5 linked regions of the Canis lupus familiaris genome follow. The main gene of each other region encodes a partner of the protein of the gene in region 5 in a complex. Links are inferred from orthologs where the notes say so. Each region holds a gene or a part of one and is shown on either strand. Other genes may lie near its edges.

What was found. Proteins that work in one complex are often made in the same cells at the same time.
Region 1: NSMCE2 (region 5) and NSMCE1 share a complex: the UniProt entries of both Homo sapiens proteins name them as parts of the SMC5-SMC6 complex. The link is inferred for Canis lupus familiaris from reciprocal best matches to the Homo sapiens genes NSMCE2 and NSMCE1.
Region 2: NSMCE2 (region 5) and NSMCE4A share a complex: the UniProt entries of both Homo sapiens proteins name them as parts of the SMC5-SMC6 complex. The link is inferred for Canis lupus familiaris from reciprocal best matches to the Homo sapiens genes NSMCE2 and NSMCE4A.
Region 3: NSMCE2 (region 5) and SMC5 share a complex: the UniProt entries of both Homo sapiens proteins name them as parts of the SMC5-SMC6 complex. The link is inferred for Canis lupus familiaris from reciprocal best matches to the Homo sapiens genes NSMCE2 and SMC5.
Region 4: NSMCE2 (region 5) and EID3 share a complex: the UniProt entries of both Homo sapiens proteins name them as parts of the SMC5-SMC6 complex. The link is inferred for Canis lupus familiaris from reciprocal best matches to the Homo sapiens genes NSMCE2 and EID3.

The regions. Positions count from the first base shown.
Region 1 is NC_049227.1:19,529,812-19,534,009, forward strand, and holds the start of NSMCE1 (non-structural maintenance of chromosomes element 1 homolog), read left to right. Parts: upstream 1-1,398; 5' UTR 1,399-1,494; coding exon 1,495-1,534; intron 1,535-4,198. UniProt on the Homo sapiens protein: RING-type zinc finger-containing E3 ubiquitin ligase that assembles with melanoma antigen protein (MAGE) to catalyze the direct transfer of ubiquitin from E2 ubiquitin-conjugating enzyme to a specific substrate.
Region 2 is NC_049249.1:32,015,183-32,019,429, forward strand, and holds the start of NSMCE4A (non-structural maintenance of chromosomes element 4 homolog A), read right to left. Parts: upstream 2,801-4,247; 5' UTR 2,785-2,800; coding exon 2,487-2,784; intron 1,900-2,486; coding exon 1,822-1,899; intron 1-1,821. UniProt on the Homo sapiens protein: Component of the SMC5-SMC6 complex, a complex involved in DNA double-strand breaks by homologous recombination. The complex may promote sister chromatid homologous recombination by recruiting the SMC1-SMC3 cohesin complex to double-strand breaks.
Region 3 is NC_049222.1:87,952,820-87,956,903, reverse strand, and holds the start of SMC5 (structural maintenance of chromosomes protein 5), read left to right. Parts: upstream 1-1,284; 5' UTR 1,285-1,367; coding exon 1,368-1,564; intron 1,565-2,169; exon of another isoform or gene 2,170-2,298; intron 2,299-4,084. UniProt on the Homo sapiens protein: Core component of the SMC5-SMC6 complex, a complex involved in repair of DNA double-strand breaks by homologous recombination.
Region 4 is NC_049231.1:35,011,942-35,015,309, reverse strand, and holds EID3 (EP300-interacting inhibitor of differentiation 3), read left to right. Parts: upstream 1-1,181; 5' UTR 1,182-1,298; coding exon 1,299-2,405; 3' UTR 2,406-2,868; downstream 2,869-3,368. UniProt on the Homo sapiens protein: Tissue-specific component of the SMC5-SMC6 complex, a complex involved in repair of DNA double-strand breaks by homologous recombination.
Region 5 is NC_049234.1:23,491,666-23,495,759, forward strand, and holds the start of NSMCE2 (E3 SUMO-protein ligase NSE2), read left to right. Parts: upstream 1-1,294; 5' UTR 1,295-1,449; intron 1,450-4,094. UniProt on the Homo sapiens protein: E3 SUMO-protein ligase component of the SMC5-SMC6 complex, a complex involved in DNA double-strand break repair by homologous recombination. Is not be required for the stability of the complex.

The DNA of each region.
Region 1 (4,198 bases), on a different chromosome or scaffold from region 5:
ATTCAAAATTCTACAAAACTATGCAGGACAAACAAAACATAGATGGTCTCCTCAGAGCTCTTCTTCTCTCTGACTGCCCCCAAGGCATTTTATAAAGTTCTTTATCAGTAAAGATAACTCACACTTACTGAGGCCTCACTATGTGCCAGGTACTTTTAAGTGCTTTGCATATATTAACTAATTTAATCTTACAGCAATCCTATCAACGGTGTGCTATTATGATCCCTGCTCTATGGATGAGCAAACTGAGGTGGAGAGCTTCAGTATTTTGTCCTGGGTCTCAGATATATTGAGTTTAAGAGGCAGCATCCGAATCCAGATGGTCCAGCTCCCAAGCTTAAGCTCTTTACCACACCAGGGCACCTGGGTGGCTCAGTGGTTGAGCCACCACTTCCGCTCAGGTCATGATCCCAGGGTCCTGGGATCGAGTCACACATCAGGGTCCCTGCAGGGAGCCTGCTTCTCCCTCTGCCTGTGTCTCTGTCTCTCTCTCTGTGTCTCTCATGAATAAATAAATAAAATCTTCATTAAAAAAATAAAAACTATCAGAGGCTACTGCTTTCCTCACTCAGCAGACAGGTAAACTGAGGTCCAGAGAAGTTGAGAAGTTGCTGCCCAAGATCACAGGTGTGCAACGGGCAAGTAAGTAGGGATTTGAAGCTATCATCACAGAGCTAGATGCTTGCACTTTCTGCTTGTTTCCCTGCTCGGCTGCATCCGGCTCCAGCTCCCAGGTCAGGCACTGGGATGCAAGCGTTTGTAAAACGAGTGCTCTCCAATAGCCCATTCACAACTTCATTGGCTTCTCCCAACAATCCCTAGGTAAGACGAGTAGCTGACAGCTAATCAGCACTTCCAGCGTGCGTCATTTCCTTGAAACCCCACGAACACCCTATTATTCCATGGCGACTCTGATCAGCCCCATGTACCAGAAGAAGAAACTGAGGCTGGGCGCAGCAGCTCAGTGACTTGCTCAAGATCTGGCAGAGCCAGGATTCCAGCTCAAGTTGCAGGACGGCGGAGCCCTCGCGGCCGACCCCGAGGCCACGGCGTCGTTTGCACGGATGGGGAAACTGAGGCCCAGGATGGGGCACTGGCTTGTGTCCGCGGAAACCGCGGCTGCTGGGGAGAAGGTCCCGTTGCAGGCGTGCCCCTTCCTCCTCCTAGGTCGCAGGCTGCAGTGGCGGGGCTGGAGGCAGAAGGTGGCCCGCCCGCGGCCCCGCCCGGTGAGGTCCGGAGAGTGGCGGGAGACGCGCGGAAGTCGCCGCCTACCCCCCCGGCTCCTCGGCGCCACGGCAACGGCGAGCAGGAAGTGCGTCACCCGGTGGGCGGGACGAGCGTGCGGCTGCCGCCAATAGGAGAGCCGCGCCCGCGCTGGCCCCGCCCCGGAGGGGGCGTGCCAAGCCCGCCTTTCGGCGTCGGCGGCGGGCGGCGGGGGCTGCGCCCGGGTGCGGCGGAGGGTGAGCCGCGCGCGCGCCCGCGAGGCTGTCGGGGATGGAAGAGGGCCGCGCAGAGAGGCGACGGAGGACGGAAGGTGGGCGTCAGGCCCCGGGGCGGCCCGCGTGGGTGCCGGAGCGCGGCTCCGGGGGCCCCGGGGGCTCCTCGTTGGCTGATGCCGACAGGCCCAGAGACGGGCAGGAAGGCCGGCGGGCTGGGACCTGGTGCCCCCGGCGCCCCCCGGCGCCCCCCGACGCCCCCCGACGCCCCCCGACGCCGGCGGGTCGTAGCGTTGGGTGCTGACCTCGGTTTGACCCCGCTCTTGGGGGACGGAAGCAAAAGACGGATGCCTGCACCGAATACGGAAAATACGGCCTTGGAGGAGCACCTGGCGGTTACCTGCGCCCTGCTCTCGGTCGCGGTCCTGGGACCCGTAGAGAGCCCCGAGGCTAGACGTGTGCAGATGCCCCGGTGTTTCGGATTTTTCCAAAGGGATATGATATATTCCTATTCCCCATGGTCTTTGGGGTCCGGGCTGCATCTTGTCACCACATACATGAATCCGTGCACATTTGCCCCCAAAGGAGGTCAAGAATGGCCCAGAGATAGCCTCACCTTATAGGTCAGATCAGGTCTTCAGGCTTCCAAGGTTGGAGGCCTTTAGATCTTCCTTAGATCGGAGAATTGTAGGTGAGGAGTCCCTGCAGGTGAGGGATCTCGATTTGCTTGTTCCCTGCTATGCCTCGCTTACCTGGGGTGTGTGTGTGTGTGTGTGTGTGTGTGGCGGTGGCGGTGCTAGGGTTCCTGAACTCTGCTTTTGCATCGCCACCCTCCTGCCCATCACTGACTCCGTGCATCTCCTGGTGCCTCCAGTCTTGCCGCATCTGTAAAATGGGGGCATGGATGTGACGATCCTCAGGTTCCCAGGAGGATGGAATGAGAGCGCAGTGAAGCACTCCCCCCTCTGCCTCGCGTGTGGCTCACGTGGTGGTGCTTGAGATCTGCTTATTGCACAGACATTTCTGTTTTTAAATTTTTTTTTTTTTTGGAGGGGTAGGCAGTTCATGGTTAATCTCTACCACCCAGTCCATCTTCAGACAATCGCCTTCTGTGTGTAAACAGGCCTATCTGTACTGTGTCCCTCTCCTTTTTTTTTTTTTTTTTCCCCAAGATTATTGACTTCTGTGCTGTTCCAGAGTTGGTCCTCCCCACTGCCAAGATTTTTAATTTATTTATTCAGGAGAGACACAGATAGAAAGAGAGGCAGAGGGCAGCCCCGATGGCTCAGCGGTTTAGCACGGCCTTTGGCCCAGGGCGTGATCCTGGAGACCTCAGATCGAGTCCCACATCGAGCTCCTTGCATGGAGCCTGCTTCTCCCTCTGCTTGTATCTCTGCCTCTCTCTCTCTCTATGTCTCTCATGCATAAATAAATAAAATCTTAAAGAAAGAGGCAGAGACACAGGCAGAGGGAGAAGCAGGCTTCCCAAGGGGACCCTGATGCAGGACTCGATCCTGGGACCCCACGATCACACCCTGAGCCAAAGGCAGACACACTCAACCAGTGAGCTACCCAGGCGTCCCTAGAGTTGGTCCTTTTTAGCATTTATTTTGGGTGTTACGTAACATATTTACATCATTTCTTCTTTTTTTAATCAAGATATGTAACATACCTATAAAAATGTTTGCAAATGTAAGTTCGAAGAATAAAAATAAGGAACACACGTATACTCCCCATCAGGTTAAGAAATAGAACATTATCTTATGCTGAAAGCTCCCGCTGAATCCTTTCTTCCCCTCACTAAAGATGAGCACTGCCCGGAGTACTGTTACTCATTCCCTTGTTTTTCCTTTATGGGTTTTACTATGTATCTGTAAAATGACTACTGTATATGGTTTCGTTAGGTTTTGAATTTGATGGAGAATCCTCACATATAATTAGTGTGACTTTACTTTTGCACATAACATTCCCGTATGTGAGATGCATCCACGGTGATTTGAGTAGCTCTATGTCACCTTCATTGCTTCGTCGCTATTTGGAATTCCATGGTTTGAATATAAATGCTTTGCTAGGCATTTTTCAACTGGTTGCCATTGCTACTGTTGCCAGATTTTTGCTACCACATGGTGCTTTTATACACATATTTCCTTGGGCAGATGTGGGTAGTTTCTGTAAGTGAAAAATCAAATACCGCATTTCTGGGCATACCCAAATTCGCCAGTAAAATCAAATTGTCTGACACGGTTCATAAGAGTTTACACTCCACCAGCAGTGGATGAGTTTTAGCCCAGGCCATTCTTCAGAATCTTTGCCTTATCTGGTGATGAGTAAGAGATTTGTCACTGTAGTTTGGATACTCGTTAGCCTGATGACCTCAAGACTGTGTATCTTTTAATATATTTATTAATCATTTGTATATCTTCTTTGGAAATTTCAGTTGCTTATTTTTTTTTTTTTGCAGTTGTCTTCCTCTAACTGATTTGTAGGAGTTCATTACATATTCTGAGTATGAATCTTTCATGGGTTCAGCATGTTTCAGATGCTTCCCAGTTTGTAGCTTGTCTTCTCTCTCTCTCTCTCCTTCCCCCCCGCTCAAGTATTTTCAGTGAACAGAGGTTCTTAATTTTAAAAGTTGAATTTACCTGTATATTCCTTTATGGTTTGTACTTTTTGCGTTATTATTATTATTATATCTTTTAAAGAAACCCCTGCCTTTGGCTTATAAAAGCTATCTGCCTATATTGTTGTCCAAAAGTTTTGTA
Region 2 (4,247 bases), on a different chromosome or scaffold from region 5:
GATGGGCCAGCGAGAGTAAAGTGCTCTGGAAACACCTGGAAAGGGAGCCAATTAGAGGGGAAAGCGGCAAAGCTCAAATACAGAAACATCTGTGCCTGGCTGGCTCCTGGGGGCCTTTTCATTTGGGTCCCCCACTTTCCGAACACACCTTGGGCTGCTGAACTTGCTGACTCCGGGTTTTGTTGACATACATCATTTTTCTCCCATTTTATTTCAGGAGCACTGCTATGGAAGTGACCATGGGTGAGAGAGGGCAGCAGACAGAGGCTGGCAGCTCGTTCCTGGGCTCCCCGTGGCCTTGCCCACTGGCCTCGCAGCTCCGCCCAGAAAACACAGACTTCCCAGTCACAGGTGGCTGGGAGGCCTCCACTGAGTTAAAACAATGAATGCCAAGGATCTAGAATTCTGTGTTTGCTGGGAGACTCCCAGAGCCCGGCTGAGTAACTCTGCCTGAAAGAGGTGACCCACGCAGCACAGCAGAATCAGCCAAGGGGAGGCGGTGTGTGGCTCAAGAACTAGTAAGATGCACAGTAAATCAGCAAAGGAGTGAAGGAGTCAAGAGGAACCTTGAGGAGACTGACCCGGGGACCAGGAGTGGAGAGAAGATAAAGCTAAGGACGGTAGAGGAGGGATTTAACCTGGTGGAAGGGAAATGCCCACTTCTGGAAGTGAGATTTAGCAAGCCTGGGAGACCCAGCTGGGGAGTAGTCAGGAGGCTGTGACCAGAACTAGAAAGACACTCATCTGAGAACGTGCAGACAGAAAAACATTAAAAGGTGGGCAACAGGTAAGCCATTAAGTCATACTAGGACATTACTAGAAATAAGGACCCTGGTCCCAGGAACGCGAAGAATTGTGGTGTCGGCAGTGCACGTTCTGCGGACTCTTCCTCGCTGCCCCTTCGTCTGTATTCTGTCTTTCTGCTGCCACAGAACGTCCAGGCCTGGAAAAGGGGTCCAGGGACTTGCCCTAGGGCTCTGGGACCCACTGCTCACATCAGGGGGGACCTGACCTGTCCTGTCATCAAATAGACTGCTGGCGTCCCAAACACTTTTAATTCAAACCAAGATTGTTTCTTCTTGAGATTTTGAGAGAGAGAGAGAGCAAGAGAGAGCATGCATGAGCAGGGGGAGGGACAGAGGGAGAAGCAGACCCCTCTGAGCAGGGAGCCTGATGTGGGACTCGAGGACAGGACCCTGGGATCATGACCTGAGCCAAAAGCAGATGCTTAACTGATGAGCCACGCAGGTGCCCCTCAAACCAAGATTTTTTTTTTTTTTTTAACTTCCCCTTCCCCATGGTCTGGAGCTCAGTGCTCTGAGATTTCTCTTTCTTGCCCCAGTAGAAACCCACAGGTCCACTAGTAGACTCCTGCCCCCGGCCCCCCTTATAGGTGGGCCTGTACTGGGAAGAGGATGGGAAAGGAAACAGGATGTGGGAGGGAGGGGGCAGCTTTTTTCTTTGCTTCTCCTATTCAACAAATGTATCCCGGGGATACAGCAGGGGATGCGACAGAAAGATAAACATGCAAAGCTCTCAACCTTGAGGATGCAACAGGATCACCTGGGGGGCTTGCTGAAACAGGCTGCTGGCTGTACCCCCCGGAATTTCTCCTAACGCCTTCGGGAGACGCCTCAGGGGATGGCCAAGGGCAATGAAGACAGTATTAGCGCTACAATGAGAAAGCTCCCAACGCTAGTAAGGCACTACTCTATTATGGGAGAAATGTCCGGTGTCAATAACTTGGCTGTCATATAAAACTAACTAAAATCATCCTAAAACTTATAATAAAGAGCTCCCATATATGAAGTGACGAATTACCTCCATTAAACAGAGTGTTGGCCTCTTCAAGGACCTCTGTTAATTTGTCGCTGGCATTCAGTATATCCTCCCGGTTTTCTATGCAAAAAAAAAAAAACAAAAAACCAAACAAACAAAAAACAAGGTTTGGGGAAACGTGCTCATCACGCGCGAACAGGTCCTTGCCGGCGTGATCACCTGCAGCAGCGCGGCCAAGCCCGGGTCCCCGGGTCCCCGGCGGGGCGGGGTGGCGGGGCGGGGTCCACTTCCCAGCGCGGCACATCCTTCGAGCCCGGGGTGGGGGGGGGGGGGGGGGCTGGCCGTACCTCTAAGCCGCAGCAACCTCAGAGGAGCCCGGCCGCCTATCGCCTTCACCCCAGGGGCTCCCGGGCTCGTGCAGCCGCGGAGGGGCGCTCCTAACGGCGGCTCCCAAACTTTGCGAGCCCGGAGGCCCCGAGAGGGCGGGCGGGGCGGCCCCGGGTTTCGGAGTGGGCGGGTGCGGTGCGGTGCGGTGCGGCCCGAGCGCCGGCGTTTCCGACAGTCCCCGTCCCCCGTCCCCGTCCCCCACCCCGCCCAGGTCGCGCAGCCCGCCGCCCGCCACCGCACGGGGCCACCCCGCGAGCCGACCGAGCGCGGCCGGGCCTGCCTCCGTCCCCGCCTGCCCGCCCGCCCGCGCCCCGCCTTACGTTGGACCGAGTTGATGAGCGCCCGGTACTGATGGCGGATCTGGCGGCACAGGCCGTGGTCGGTCTCCGCCTCCAGGCTCGCGGGGTCCACCATCTCGTCCCCGGAATCCGACGGCTCCGTGTCCTCCAGGCTCGGGCGCTCCGGGGCCTCCCTGCGCTCGGGCGCGGCGCCGCGGCGGGACACGGGCGACAGCGGGGACCGCGAGCGGGAGCGGGAGCGGGTGCGGTCCCGGTGCGGGTCGCGGCCCCGGCCCCGGCCCTGGCCCTCGGGCCGGCGGCCGCTGCTGTCCCCGGACATCGCGCCGATGCGCCGAGCAACTTCGGAGCGGCGGAAGTTCGCGCCAGAAACTGAAAGCCCGGCTCGGCGCGAGCGCCCGCTCCCCGCGGAACGCGGCTCCCGGGCCGGCGCCAGCGCACAGCGACGCCTCTGGCGGGAGGCCGGCGGGGGCGCCCTGCGGGAGGGGCAGCCGGGGGGGGGGGGGGAAGGGGGGGGACACCGCCCCGGGCCTGCGTCTCCCCGGGGTGTCCTGGGCTCCCCGGCCCCCCCCCACACCAGACCTGCGTCTCCCCGGGGTGTCCTGGGCTCCCCGGCCCCCCCCCCACACCAGACCTGCATCTCCCCGGGGTGTCCTGGGCTCCCCGGCCCCCCCCACACCAGGCCTGCGTCTCCCCGGGGTGTCCTGCGCTCCCCGCCCCCCCACACACACCAGACCTGCGTCTTCCCGGGGTGTCCTGGGCTCCCCGGGACCCCCCCACACCAGGCCTGCGTCTTCCCGGGGTGTCCTGGGCTCCCCGGGACCCCCCCACACCAGGCCTGCGTCTCCCCGGGGTGTCCTGGGCTCCCCGCCCCCCCCCCACCGGGCCTGCGTCTCCCCGGGGTGTCCTGGGCTCCCCGAGACCCCCCCCACAAGGCCTGCGTCTCCCCGGGGTGTCCTGGGCCCCCCCCCCGCCCCGGGCCTGCGTCTCCCCGGGGTGTCCTGGGCTCCCCGAGACCCCCCCACAAGGCCTGCGTCTCCCCGGGGTGTCCTGGGCCCCCCCCCCGCCCCGGGCCTGCGTCTCCCCGGGGTGTCCTGGGCTCCCCGAGACCCCCCCACAAGGCCTGCGTCTCCCCGGGGTGTCCTGGGCTCCCCCCCCGCCCCGGGCCTGCGTCTCCCCGGGGTGTCCTGGGCTCCCCGAGACCCCCCCACAAGGCCTGCGTCTCCCCGGGGTGTCCTGGGCTCCCCCCCCGCCCCGGGCCTGCGTCTCCCCGGGGTGTCCTGGACTCCCCGTCCCCCCCCACACACCAGACCTGCGTCTTCCCCGGGGTGTCCTGGACTCCCCGCCCCGCACCAGGCCTGCGTCTCCCCGGGGTGTCCTGGGCTCCCCGGCCCCCCCTCCCCCCCGCACCGGGCCTCGTCTTCCCGGGGCGTCTAGGCTCCCTGGGACCCACCCCACCCCACCCCGCACCCCAGCGACGCACGCAGTGAGCGCGTGTGTTGGCGGAGCAGGAGGGGCGCCGGGCTCCAGACAGGCGGTGTGGCTCTGGGGCCTCCCCCGGGGGAGCAGGCGGTCCCACTCCAGGTGAAGACAGAAAACAAAAGCACGAATTAACGGCAAAAACCGTCTTTCCCCCTAGTGAACTGTCCCTTCTGAAGAGCTGCACCAAGGCAGCTTGTGCTGACAATCGGTCCTCAAACTAAAATATTCTAAATTTTCTCCCAAAGACTCTGAGACAGGTGGGATTTTATGTTCAGGAAATGTATGCATTCCATTCTACATATT
Region 3 (4,084 bases), on a different chromosome or scaffold from region 5:
GGAAGCGCCAGGCACCTGGGGAAGGAGCACTGGTCCTCGAGTCAGGAATGAGGGTTCTACTGCACCTGTTTTTCAAACGGCTTCCCCGGTTCCAGGCTTGACCCTCTCCAAACAGTAATGAGGGATTATTTAAAAACTTGAATCAGATCACGTCTCTCTCTTGCTTACAACCATCCAATGGGCTTCCCAAAGCCTTAAAAATAAAAATCAGCTCAGCTATGGTGGGCAAGGCTCTGGTCAGGTGCAATGGTCAGGTGATCACTCACCGCAGCCACACAGGCCTTCCCTTTGTTCCTCAGAAGTCCCCCTGTTCCCACTCCAGAGCTTTTGTCCTTGCCTGGAATACTTTTTTTTTTTTTTTTTTGTTAGCATTTAGGGTTCCACTCAAACACCACCTCTTCTGACAACCTTCTGTGCCTCCCCCCATCACCTGAGTTCTGTTTCACAGCACCTAGCACAGCCTGGAATGATCCTGAACCTGCTCCACTGGTTCTTTTTCTGTCTCCCACACCGGGCAGGGGCGCAGGCAGGCATCCCTGGCTGGGGTCCCTCAGAGCCGCAGCTCCGGCCTCTGGCGGGTTAGACATTAGCGAGACGCTGAGTGGTCGAGGCGCTGCGGCAGCTTCGGTGCGCCTCCCGTTCAACGAGGTTAACCAGCGGCAGGTGCGCAGGTTTAAGTGGAAGCGCGACCCACTGAAGCCGCTGCGCTCGAGCTCCTGGGTTTCTAGAAACCTCGGGGCAGGAAGCCTTAAAAGGGAAGGAGGGAGCGAGGGGGCGGAGTGTCTGCTTGCAGGGAGGCCGTTTGCAAGTTGGAGCGCCCCGGGTACCTGGCACCACGCGGCTCAGGGGAGACGCGGGCGCAGGGCCACCGCTGGAGTTTTCTTTTTTGGACACGGGGACCTGCATGAGGCCCAGCGGGGAGCAGGGTGAGACGCGGAAGAGCCCGAAGCAGGCGAGTCCGGGTGCGCGCGGGCAGGGTCCGCCCGCGGCCGCCGAACGTCTCCCTCCGTCCTCTTCGCGGGCCGGCTTCCTCCGAGCGCTCAGAGGGCTTTCCGAGTACTAAATGCAACTGACATCTTTTTCTGAGCCAAAAAGCCCGAACCGTGAAAGATGCACGAGCGCTTCGGGGGCACGGCCGGGTAGCCGCGCGCTGGGGGGGCCGCCGCCCCGGCCCGCGTCCTCGCTGCCGCCCGCCCCCGAGGCCCGGCGCCGAGGGGCGGGGCCGCCCGCTGACGCCGCCGGGCCGGACTGCGCAGGCGCGGGGCGGGCTCGCGGGCCGGGCAGTTCGCGCGGGAGCCGGGCGCCGGGGCGCCGGGGCCGCAGGTCGGTGGGAACGGAAGCGCCCGCGGGGCGGCGGGGACGCCGGGATGGCGACTCCGAGTAGGAAGTCGTCGGCCCCAGGCACCGTGGCCTCCAAGAGAGCTCTCCCGAGGGATCCCTCGTCGGAGGTCCCGAGCAAGAGGAAGAGCTCGGCCCCGCCGGCGCCGCCGCCGCCGCCGCCGCTGCCATCGTCCAGGCCTTTCGTGGAGGGCTCTATCGTCCGCATCGTGATGGAGAACTTCTTGTGAGTGTCCGGAGGCCGCGGCGCCGCGGGGCGGGGCGGGGCGCGGCGGGGAGGCGAGCGGGCCCGCGGGCGGTCGGCGTGCGTCTGCTGCGATGCGGGGTGGGCTTTTTTTTTTTTTTTTTTTTTTTTTTTATTCATTCAGCCAGCGTTTTCTGAAGGCGTCACAGGGCGGGCAGCGGACGGGGTAGGGCCCGGATTTGTGTCGGCCGGAGTCACGGCCTACGGAGGGAGGACGTGATGTGCGAATCCCAGAAGTAGGGGCGCTGGCAACTCCGAGGAAGCCACGGTGAAATCGGAGCAGCGGTGATGCTGTGGCCGACTCGGGAGGAGTCAGCGGTCGCCAGGTGGACAAGATGGTGAAGGTGGTTCCTCCTGGAGGTGGAAACGTACAAGCAAACTAATAAGCCTCGCTCTGGATTGTTGGGCCTCCTAGCAGACCCCGGAGCCCTCAGCATCCAGCTCCCCCGCCCCCCCCCCCCCCCGCGCCCCGTTCCTTTTCTTTCTCTCCAGGCAACTAAGAATCGTAATAATCGTTTGAGAATTTAGTAAATATCTTTTAACACAGATACTGTGTATCTCTCTAGCACCTTACAGTTTTGTTGGTCAAGGTCTTCCCACTCCCCCCCCCCCCCCCACTATTTTTTTTTTTAAAGCTTGCACATGGGGGCTTAGGATAACAGAATTGTAACTACCAACGTTGTGGTTCCCGCGCCCCCGTATCTATCATGTGCCAGGTACAGAAGTAGATGCTTTATTTACATAATACTCTGATTCTCTCCTAACAACTCTTCATCTTCACTGATGAGATGATGTCAGGTTAATTTACCCATGTTATACTGCCAATAAGTAGCTGAATTGCTATATGAATCTAGATCAGGAAAGATAATCAAATGAGTCACCTACCATGATAATGCGTGTATGTATTTATAGATATGTATGTATCAGGGTGCTGTGTGGGCACAGAGGCTGAAGTGGTTAATTTTATTCATAACTGTGAGAAAGGGCTTTGTACAGGAGGTTATGAAAGTTTTAAGGGAAGAGCACTGTTTCAGAAGAAACCGCCTGAAACAGCTGTATTTAGGAAGTTCTAGTATGGTTAGCACGTAGGGTGTGAGTGAGAGTGACGATGTGGACAAAGATGATACTAACGAGGTAGGCAGCTCTTGAGGATCTTTGTTCTCTATGCTGAGGAATTCCAATAATCCTGTTGGCAACCTGGGAATGGCATGTGATTTATATTACTCTGGAAGCAGTGTGAAAGATGATTTAGAAAGGGTCCAAGATCGGAAGCAAAGAAGACTTTTACAACGGTAAGACATGATTGGTTTTCGAACCTAGGAGTAACAGTGGGAAGTAGTGGAAAAGAGATTTGGCAGGATCTGGCTACAGATCGGGAGGCCTGAGGGTAAGAGAGTAAGACAGTATTTTTCTCAAGTCTCTGTCTTGGCTCTTGGTCGGATGTGGCCCTTTTCAGAAGACGGAGCAATTTGGGGAGGATAATGATAATTACTTTCTGGATCCTGTGATTTGAAGTTTCCCATGGGGGTGTCTAAAAAAGGTCTTCCATGAGCAGTAATTTTAGGGTCAGGAAAATGCAAACAGGTGAGAGATTTGGAAGTCATGCATAGAGGTGATTCTTGAAGTTTCAGAAACAGTTGAGGTTGCCCAAAAGGAAATATAAATTGGAATAGAAGGCCAACTGTGGTGTCCTGGAGGAATGCCAACACGTAAGAGTGAGCAGAGGAGTTGTTTGGATGGAGAAGGGAACTGTTCAGGGAGGTAAGAGGAGAATCGTGGGAGAGAGTATTCTCTCAGGAGCCTAGGGGGAAAAGTGTTTCAAAAATATCATCTGCTACTTTGGCATCTGATACAAGATAGTGGAACTGAAAAGAGCTCACTGCATTCAGCAATTAGGAATTCTCTTACCCTTTGAAGCCAGGTAAGCGCAACATTTTGCAAGTCCTAGAAGAATGAATGAATGTGAGGAAATAAAGCTTGGATATGAAGAGGAGAAGGAAGAGGTGGCTGCAAAGTGCAGAGCTAGCCTGTTGATTCTCACAATGAGAGGATGCTGAGTTTTAAGAATGAGGGAGGAAGGGTGGGCCTGGAGAACCAAAGTGGCCCGAAAGAGTACTTCCTAGAAGAATTCCTAGGAGCAAACCCAAGTCCAGTGGGGCTTGGGAATGGAGGGAGAGATTTCTGCTGATGGAAAATAGCATGTGCGAAGGCTTGGGAGAATAAATAAGTGTAAGATAGTCAGGAAGAAGTTCATGGTAGGTAGAATTTAGAGGTCAGATTAGAGAACAAGGAAGGAGATAGAAAGTAAGAAAAGATGATGCAAGAGTCCTATTTTTTCTTTTTCTTTCTTTTTTCTTAATGAGGGATCTCAGAATTGCTTGTCTACCAGCATGACTTGGTGACCGGATGATGGGGGGCAGAGGTGAAGAAGATGGTAGAATCAAAGATGATGAGAAACTTAACGTCTCGGTTTCTGATTTGGGCAGTGGGATGAATGATGGT
Region 4 (3,368 bases), on a different chromosome or scaffold from region 5:
CCAACAAAATATATTCTTTATTGTTACATATACTTTGCTGCTTATGAAACCATTGAGCTAAGCCTTTTCTCCCAACTGTATGTGAATTCCCAGTGAACTAGTGGGTGAGTTTTCCAAAGTAGTCACTTGATTTGCAGCATTCACTTTCATACCCTTACATCAGATTTTTTTTTTTTTTAAGATTTTATTTATTTTTATTCATGAGAGACAGAGAGAGAGAGGCAGAGACACAGGCAGAGGGAGAAGCAGGCTCCATGCAGGGGGCCTGACGCGGGACTTATCCTGGTCTCCAGGATCACGCTCTGGATCGAAGGCGGCGCTAAACCTCTGAGCCACCGGCGCTGCCCCAGATTGTGTTTAAAATCTTAATAGCTTTGCTCACCTTTCAGGGCTTAGCTTTCTCTCCACAGTCTGTGGCTTTTAGCCTTTGGTAAGCTTCCAAATAAACCACTCTTTGCAGAGACTGTACCCACTTTATTCTTCCACCCTTGGGTGGTGGAGACCCAAAGGTCACTTGGGTAATGCCTGACATTCCCCCACCTTTTGCCCCAGCGCCAGCTCAGCCACTCACTTGCCTGGCAGCTGCCTCCTCTGTTGGTTGAAAGGGGTCTGGCTTCTGAGGGCCAGTGTAGGGTAATTAACCCAATATGCAATTGTATAATGAATAAATTCCAAACCTTGCAAATGAACCCTGAGAATTCGGCCTATTTGTAGTGGACTTTCTGCAGTTCACTATGCTTAGCATTATGGGCAGTTGACAGCAAAGCCAGATTTAGTTTTTAAAAACACACAAAAAAGAAAACTCTAAAGACCCTACCATTTAATCAGAGTAAAAACGAAAACCATAGGTTGACCTAACTGCAGTATGTGACAGCAGGTATTTCAAAGCGCAGGACCTTTAGTCCCTCCCCCTCCCCCTCAGTTTTAAAATGTCGTAAGATTTTCAGGTATTTCTTTGAAAGCTAGAGGACACTGTCGGTAATTGCTAAAATGAAGCTGTCGTTTGAGCGGGTATTGTTCGCCTGCGGAGGGGGGCCCATTATTGCTCGCGTTCTACGCTGCCCGCTGCCCGCTGCCCGCTGCCTGCTGCCTGCCGCGGCGGTCGGCTGGTCGGAAACCACCGACGGGTCTGGGCTCCCGGCGCCGAGGGGCGGGGCGGGCTGGGGGCGGGGCGCGGGGCCTGGCCAGTGCGCATGGGCGGACCTCCTCTGCTCCCACCGACCCCCTTCGATTTCCGCTCTTGTCGCAAACGTCGCGAGGGCCGTTAGCGGAGTGTCAGTGAGTGCGCCGGCCCCGAAATGTCTGAGGAACAAGGCTCCCGCGCCGGAGCGGTAGAGGAAGGAGAGGCGCCCCCGGGGACCCTCGCTGCTACTGTGCACTCGGTGAAACAGGCGGACGACGGCGAGGAGCCCGTGAAAGTGGAAGTGGCTGATGGCTGCTCTGACGACCTCAGCTGTGGGGAGGCCGACATAGACCCCAGCCTCCTAGAGCTTGCGGATGACGAGGAGAAATGCCGGAAGATCCGCAAGCAGTACCGGCAGCTCATCTATAACGTCCAGCAGAACCGTGATGACATCGTGAACACTGCCAGCGACTCGTTAACCGAGGCTCTTGAAGAAGCCAATGTCCTATTTGATGGAGTGAGCCGGACAAGAGAAGCAGCTCTCGATGCCCAGTTTCTTGTTTTGGCTTCTGATTTGGGTAAAGAAAAAGCAAAGCAACTAAACTCTGATATGAGCTTTTTTAATCAAGTAGCGTTTTGTGACTTTCTGTTTATATTTGTGGGTCTGAACTGGATGGAAGATGATGAACCTGGTGAACTGAGTGGCTGTGATGATAATATAGCTCTTTCCTTCTGGGAGACAGTACAGAAGGAAGCAACATCCTGGATATTGCAAGCTGAAACATTTCACTTTATTTTCGGTTCATTCAAGTCCAAACCTTCTGCACCAAAGCCCCGACTTGAACACCACAAAAAAGCTCACAAAGTAGAAGAAAGTGGGGATATGCCTACAAAGCTGAGGAAGTTGGACCTGAGTAACAATCAAGAAGCAACAGAAAAAGAAGTAGAGAGAATCTTGGGATTGTTGCAAACGTACTTTCGAAAGTATCCTGATACTCCTGTGTCCTATTTTGAGTTTGTGATTGATCCAAACTCTTTTTCTCGTACTGTGGAGAATATATTTTATGTTTCTTTCATTATAAGGGATGGTTTTGCGAGAATAAGGCTTGACCAAGACAGGCTGCCAATATTAGAGCCGATTAATATTAACCAAGTGGATGAGGGAAATGATCCCAGTTCTCATGGCAGGAAACAAGGAGTTATATCTTTAAGTTTACAGGACTGGAAAAATATTGTGGCAACTTTTGAAATTTCAGAGGCTATGATCACAAACTCATACTAGGGATTTTTGTTCTTAGTATAGGCTGCATTATCTGGCTTTCCTAATGTACTCAAAATGGAGAGTAAAATCCAAGCAGAAGCACATACTGTATTTCATGTAGAATGAAAAAGTGTTTTCAGAAACACCAGAAATTGTTTTACTGTGCAGTGTATTTTTTTTGGTACTTTATAAGGTTGTCATGATCTTCTGTTATTAAAAAATATTCACTTGCATGTTTGCAAGATTTTTTGAATGCCCTTTAAGTCTTTATCAATAAAAATCAGTTCTGAATTTCATAAGTTAAAAGGCATTTGATAATTTACCAAAAATATCAATTTTATGATGCTCTATGATACTGCCTTGCTTCCTCCGTTAGAGGGAACAAAAAGAATCCCATATGGGGTTCCTGACAAGGTTAGGGGAAGCTGTAAAAAAAAAAAAAAAAGGAAAAAAGTTCAAGGAAGACTTTATCCTTAGGGCAGTGAATAAGCAATGTTAATGCTGCAGAAAAAACTAGATGCCAAGCTTCATTGCAAGGAGGATTCAGTATGATTAATGAGTGGATATCTATATTCTAAAGAATTTTCCTGTGATGAGACTTACCTACTGTAGAGTCATTCTACTTTTGTCAGGTGAGGCATCAAGTGTATGCTGAAAGGTGAGCAGCGATTAGTCAAAGATAGGAAGGGTATTCTAGGCAGGGGAATACAGAGGCCAAATACATGGAATTACAAGAAATAATGGCACCAGAGAGAGAATCAGGAGATTTGGTGTTCGATTTGAATGTTAAACTGAGCAAAAATTGAAATACCTTGTTATTAGTATCCTCAGAGGTAGAAGGTATTTTTTTTTTTCAAACACAAACCAGTTATAGGCTTTATCTACTTGGTTAATTTCTTCTCTAGTCTCTAATCTCCAAACCCTTGGTAATTTCTGCTAGTGCACAGAGTGACCTTCAGAATCAGTGGTGTTTCATTATGTTAC
Region 5 (4,094 bases):
GGCTGTATTACTATCTGGCATGAAATGAAACCAGAGATCCCACTCGATTTCCTACTCTTCCTTTACAAGGCACCCCAAAAAGCAGCTGTTAACTTATTTTTAAGAATTTTGGCATGGAACTGTGGTTTTCAGTTTGGAAGGTAGCCCCAGACAAAAGACAACAACGTGTTTCAAGAACGCAGCATGGCATCACCATCATACCAATTACCCAACAGGTACAGAACTGAATTCTGAAGGAAATTAAATTGTCCTGGGACAAACCACACAAACCTGTGTGCCCTACTCAGAGGACAAAAGAAGTCTTTTTTTTTTTTTTTAATCCTTTCATAAAACCTCGGTTCCATAAAGAAGGAAGCACTGGGCTCCACCTATCCATGACCGGGAACAAAACAGAATGGTTGTTGATCAAAATAAAAGTGACAAATCTCTTCCAGGCAAGTTCGGAAATGGGCCTGATCTCTCTAGCCCCATTCATAAATCCTGGAAGACGGGAGAACGAAAAACGGGAGGCGTTCCTGGTTATGCGCAGAAGCAGGAAGACCTCTCCCTCCCTTGTCACGACCCCAAGTATCTCTGTTGGAGGAAACTCCGTGCACTTGGAATCCGGCTCCATTACCGGCACCGTGACTTGATTTATGTTTTCAACCGTGCGCCACAAACCTGTCGGGACCCTCGGAACTATTTTCCAAAATGCAAAGAACTTCGGCACCGGCGTGCCGCAGGTGAGGGAACTTGGGTGCAGAGAGGAGCAATGACTGGCTCAAGTTCGGAACCCACGGCGGAGCTAGAATTCAAACCCGGGTCTAGCAGACTCTCAAAGCCCTCGCCGAGCACCCCGTGTTCTCGAGAGCAGGGGGAGGATTAACGCCGCCCGCCCGGCGCGGCTCCTGGAAACTTGGAGGGGTCAGAGGCGGGCCAACAGCTGAGTGTCCGCGGCGGGGAGAACCACGGCCCCGAGAGGAGGTGGGAGAGCTGCGGCTGCAGCGCCGCCCCAGGCAGGCCCTCAGCCCTCCAAGCCCGACTCCCCGTCCACGCCGCACCTTCCGCCCGCGCGGCCCTGCGCGGGGCCGGGGCCCCGGAGAGCGCATCCCGCCCTCACTCACCTGTCACCCCGGCCGCGCCAGGGCGCACGTGCGGGGCCGGCGAGCGCGGGCGGGGTCGGCACGCGGGTGCCCGGCCTCCCCTCCCCGCACGACGACCCCTCCGGCCGCAGCCCCCGATCGCCAGCCGGCGGGACCCCGGCTTCCGCCTGTGGCGCCCGTGGCAGTCACATGACCAGAGGGGGCGGGAGCAGGGCGGGGCGTCATGTGACCGCTGGCCGGCGACGGCTGATGACGCTCGAGCCCGCGCTCGCGGTTTCAGCGACTGGGGAAGGGAGTTGAGGAAGGAGTTGGGGTCCGGGCGTGGGCGGTCCGGGTGCTGCCAGACCGAGCCGGGGCGCGCCTCCAGGTAAGGCGGAAGCGGGGGGTGGCGAGGGCGAGGGTGGCGACAGGTGTCGCCTCCCCGTGGGGCGCCCCGCGGGTGCCCTGAGCTGGGGTCTGTCCGCCCGGGCTGTGGTCCTGGCACTGCACGCCGAGCACGGAGGCTTGGGCAGGCTGCCCCCTCCCCGAGGCGCCGTCTCTCCATCCTCCCACCCGAGTGGGGGAAAAGTTCACGGTTCCTGCTGCAGATTCGTGTGCTTTGAGCTGTCTTTAAAAGCAGGGCCTCGGACGGGAGGTCTAAATGAGCTCCCTGGGCCTCAGTTTCCTTTTCTATAATTGGTTGTGAGCATCAGCGGTCCTGAGAAAGTAGCGCCAAGGGCATCAGTTTGTGGCGCACTGTGGGGGGCCTCGAAAGGGTGGTTGCTGGGGATCCCCGGGGGGCCCAGCGGTTTAGCGCCGCCTGCAGCCCAGGGTGTGATCCTGGAGACCCGGGGTCGAGTCCCAGGTCGGGCCCCCTGCGTGGGACCCGCTTCTCCCTCTGCCTGGGTCTCTGCCTCTCTCGCTGTGTCTCTCATGAATAAAGAAGTAGAATCTTAAAAAAAAAAAAAAAGAAAAAAAACCAAGAAAGGGCGGTTGCTGTTCCTGTCGTCACTCTCCTCCGTTCTTTGATCGCCTCTTTCGTACGAGGAGCTGTCTTATGTGCTAGCAGAACGTGTCAGGGTTGTGGTTTAAGCTGCTCCCGGGGTGAAGGAGTGGCTGCCGGGTGAACAAATAGCTGTGATGAGTTTTACGAAGAAGTGTGTGTGTGAGGGAGAGGGGGCATAGTAGTAGCATGAGGGAGGGAACGAGCAATTGCTCGTATAGGTAAGAGACGGTTTCATAAGGAAAGACGTACCCTTGCATCTTGAAAAAGGAGCTGTAGCTCTGGCTGGACTTGCATAGGCCCCGTGGTTTGAAGGACGTTTGGCAGAGTGTCTATAAATTGTTAGCTCTGGGTCTACCACCCTGCTGTAAGGAGAGAGGAGACGGGGGAAACAATATTTTCAAGTCAGCTGATAAGTGACCCTGCCTGAAGTGAATCAGACTTGCTGTGGTCTGAATATTTATGTTTTTCTGCGCCCCCCCCCCCGCCCCTTCATATGTTGAAATCCTAATGCCGTTGTGATATAGTATTAGGAAGTGGGGCCTTTGAGAGGTGCTTAGGTGATGAGGGTGGAGCCCTCATGAATGGAATTAGTGCCTTTGTAAAAGGCTCCTGAGAGCTCCCTCCCTTGCACCTTCTACCTTGTGATGACAAAGGGTGAGAGGGCTTGGGGGCTCTGAACGAGGTAGAGGGCCTTCACCGGAATGGGACCCTGCTGGCACCTTGACCTTGGACTTCCCAGCCTCCAGAACTCCAGGCATCAATTTCTGTTGTTTGTAAGCTACCCAATCTGGTATTTTGTTGCAGCAGCCTGAATGGCCTAAGACAAGGCTCGGTATGGGAAGGGAAAATAACATGCGTGGGAAAAACTCAGGAAATATATATATATATATATATATATATATATATATATATATATATATGATTTTTATTTAGTTATGAGAGACACAGAGAGAGGCAGAGACATAGGCAGAGGGAGAAGCAGGCTCCATGCAAGGAGCCTGATGTGAGACTCGATCCCGGGTCTCTAGGATCGTGCCCTGGGCTGAAGGCAGGTGCTAAACCGCTGGGCCACCTGGGTTGCCAGGAAACCTTGCTTTAATCTTTCTTGGAAACTGTAGGTACAGGGAACAAAGAGATTATTGTTACTAGGGAAGGCTTCAAGAGGAGGTTGATTTAAACCAAGGTTTCATGATGGACATTTTGGGCCAGATGATTCTTTAGGGGGGTGGGGTTGTCCTGTGAATTATGTACTTAGCTGTTCTTAGCGGGAGAGAGAGAGAGAAGAGTGTGTCTACTCCATCCATTCTCTTTGCTTCTCAATCCAAATCTTTTTCCTGAAAATACTCCAGAATTACAGAAGGAAGTTTCCCTCGGCTCTCTGCAAGCGTAGAGTTTCATTAGAGTAATGTGAATTTTGCATGCACATAATAAGGATAGCTACTATGTGGGAGACACTCATCACTTATCCTGTATTGTATTATTCCTTATATACGTTGTGTGTTTTGTCCATTCCAGGTGCTATTAAAAAATAGCATAGACGGGTGGCTTAAAGAACAGAAATTTATTTTCAGTTTTGGAGACCAGAAGTCAAGAGATTAGGGTGCCGGCATGGCTGGGTACTGGTAAGAGGCCTCTTTTTCGCTCTCATCAGCCCCCTTCTTACTATGTCCTTATTGGGTGGAGAGAGCGAGCTCAGGTGTCTCTTCCTCTTCTAATAAGGACATTAATTCCTTCCTGAAATTAGGCTCTACCTTCAGGACATCTAAACCTAATTATCTCCCAAAGATCTCGGGTCCAAGTACCACACAATGGGGGTTAGGCTCTCAACAATGATTTTGGGAGGAGATGCAGTTATCTCAGTGTTCTCCATACTTGTTTGATTCTGAGAATCCTCTGCAGCGATTCATAAAAATACAGGTTTCCCCGGAGTGTCCACTAGGGACTCGGGTTAGTAGGTCTGAGATAGCACTTACATATACATCTATATTTTCAATAAGCATTTCAACTGACTCCTAAGATCAGGCAAG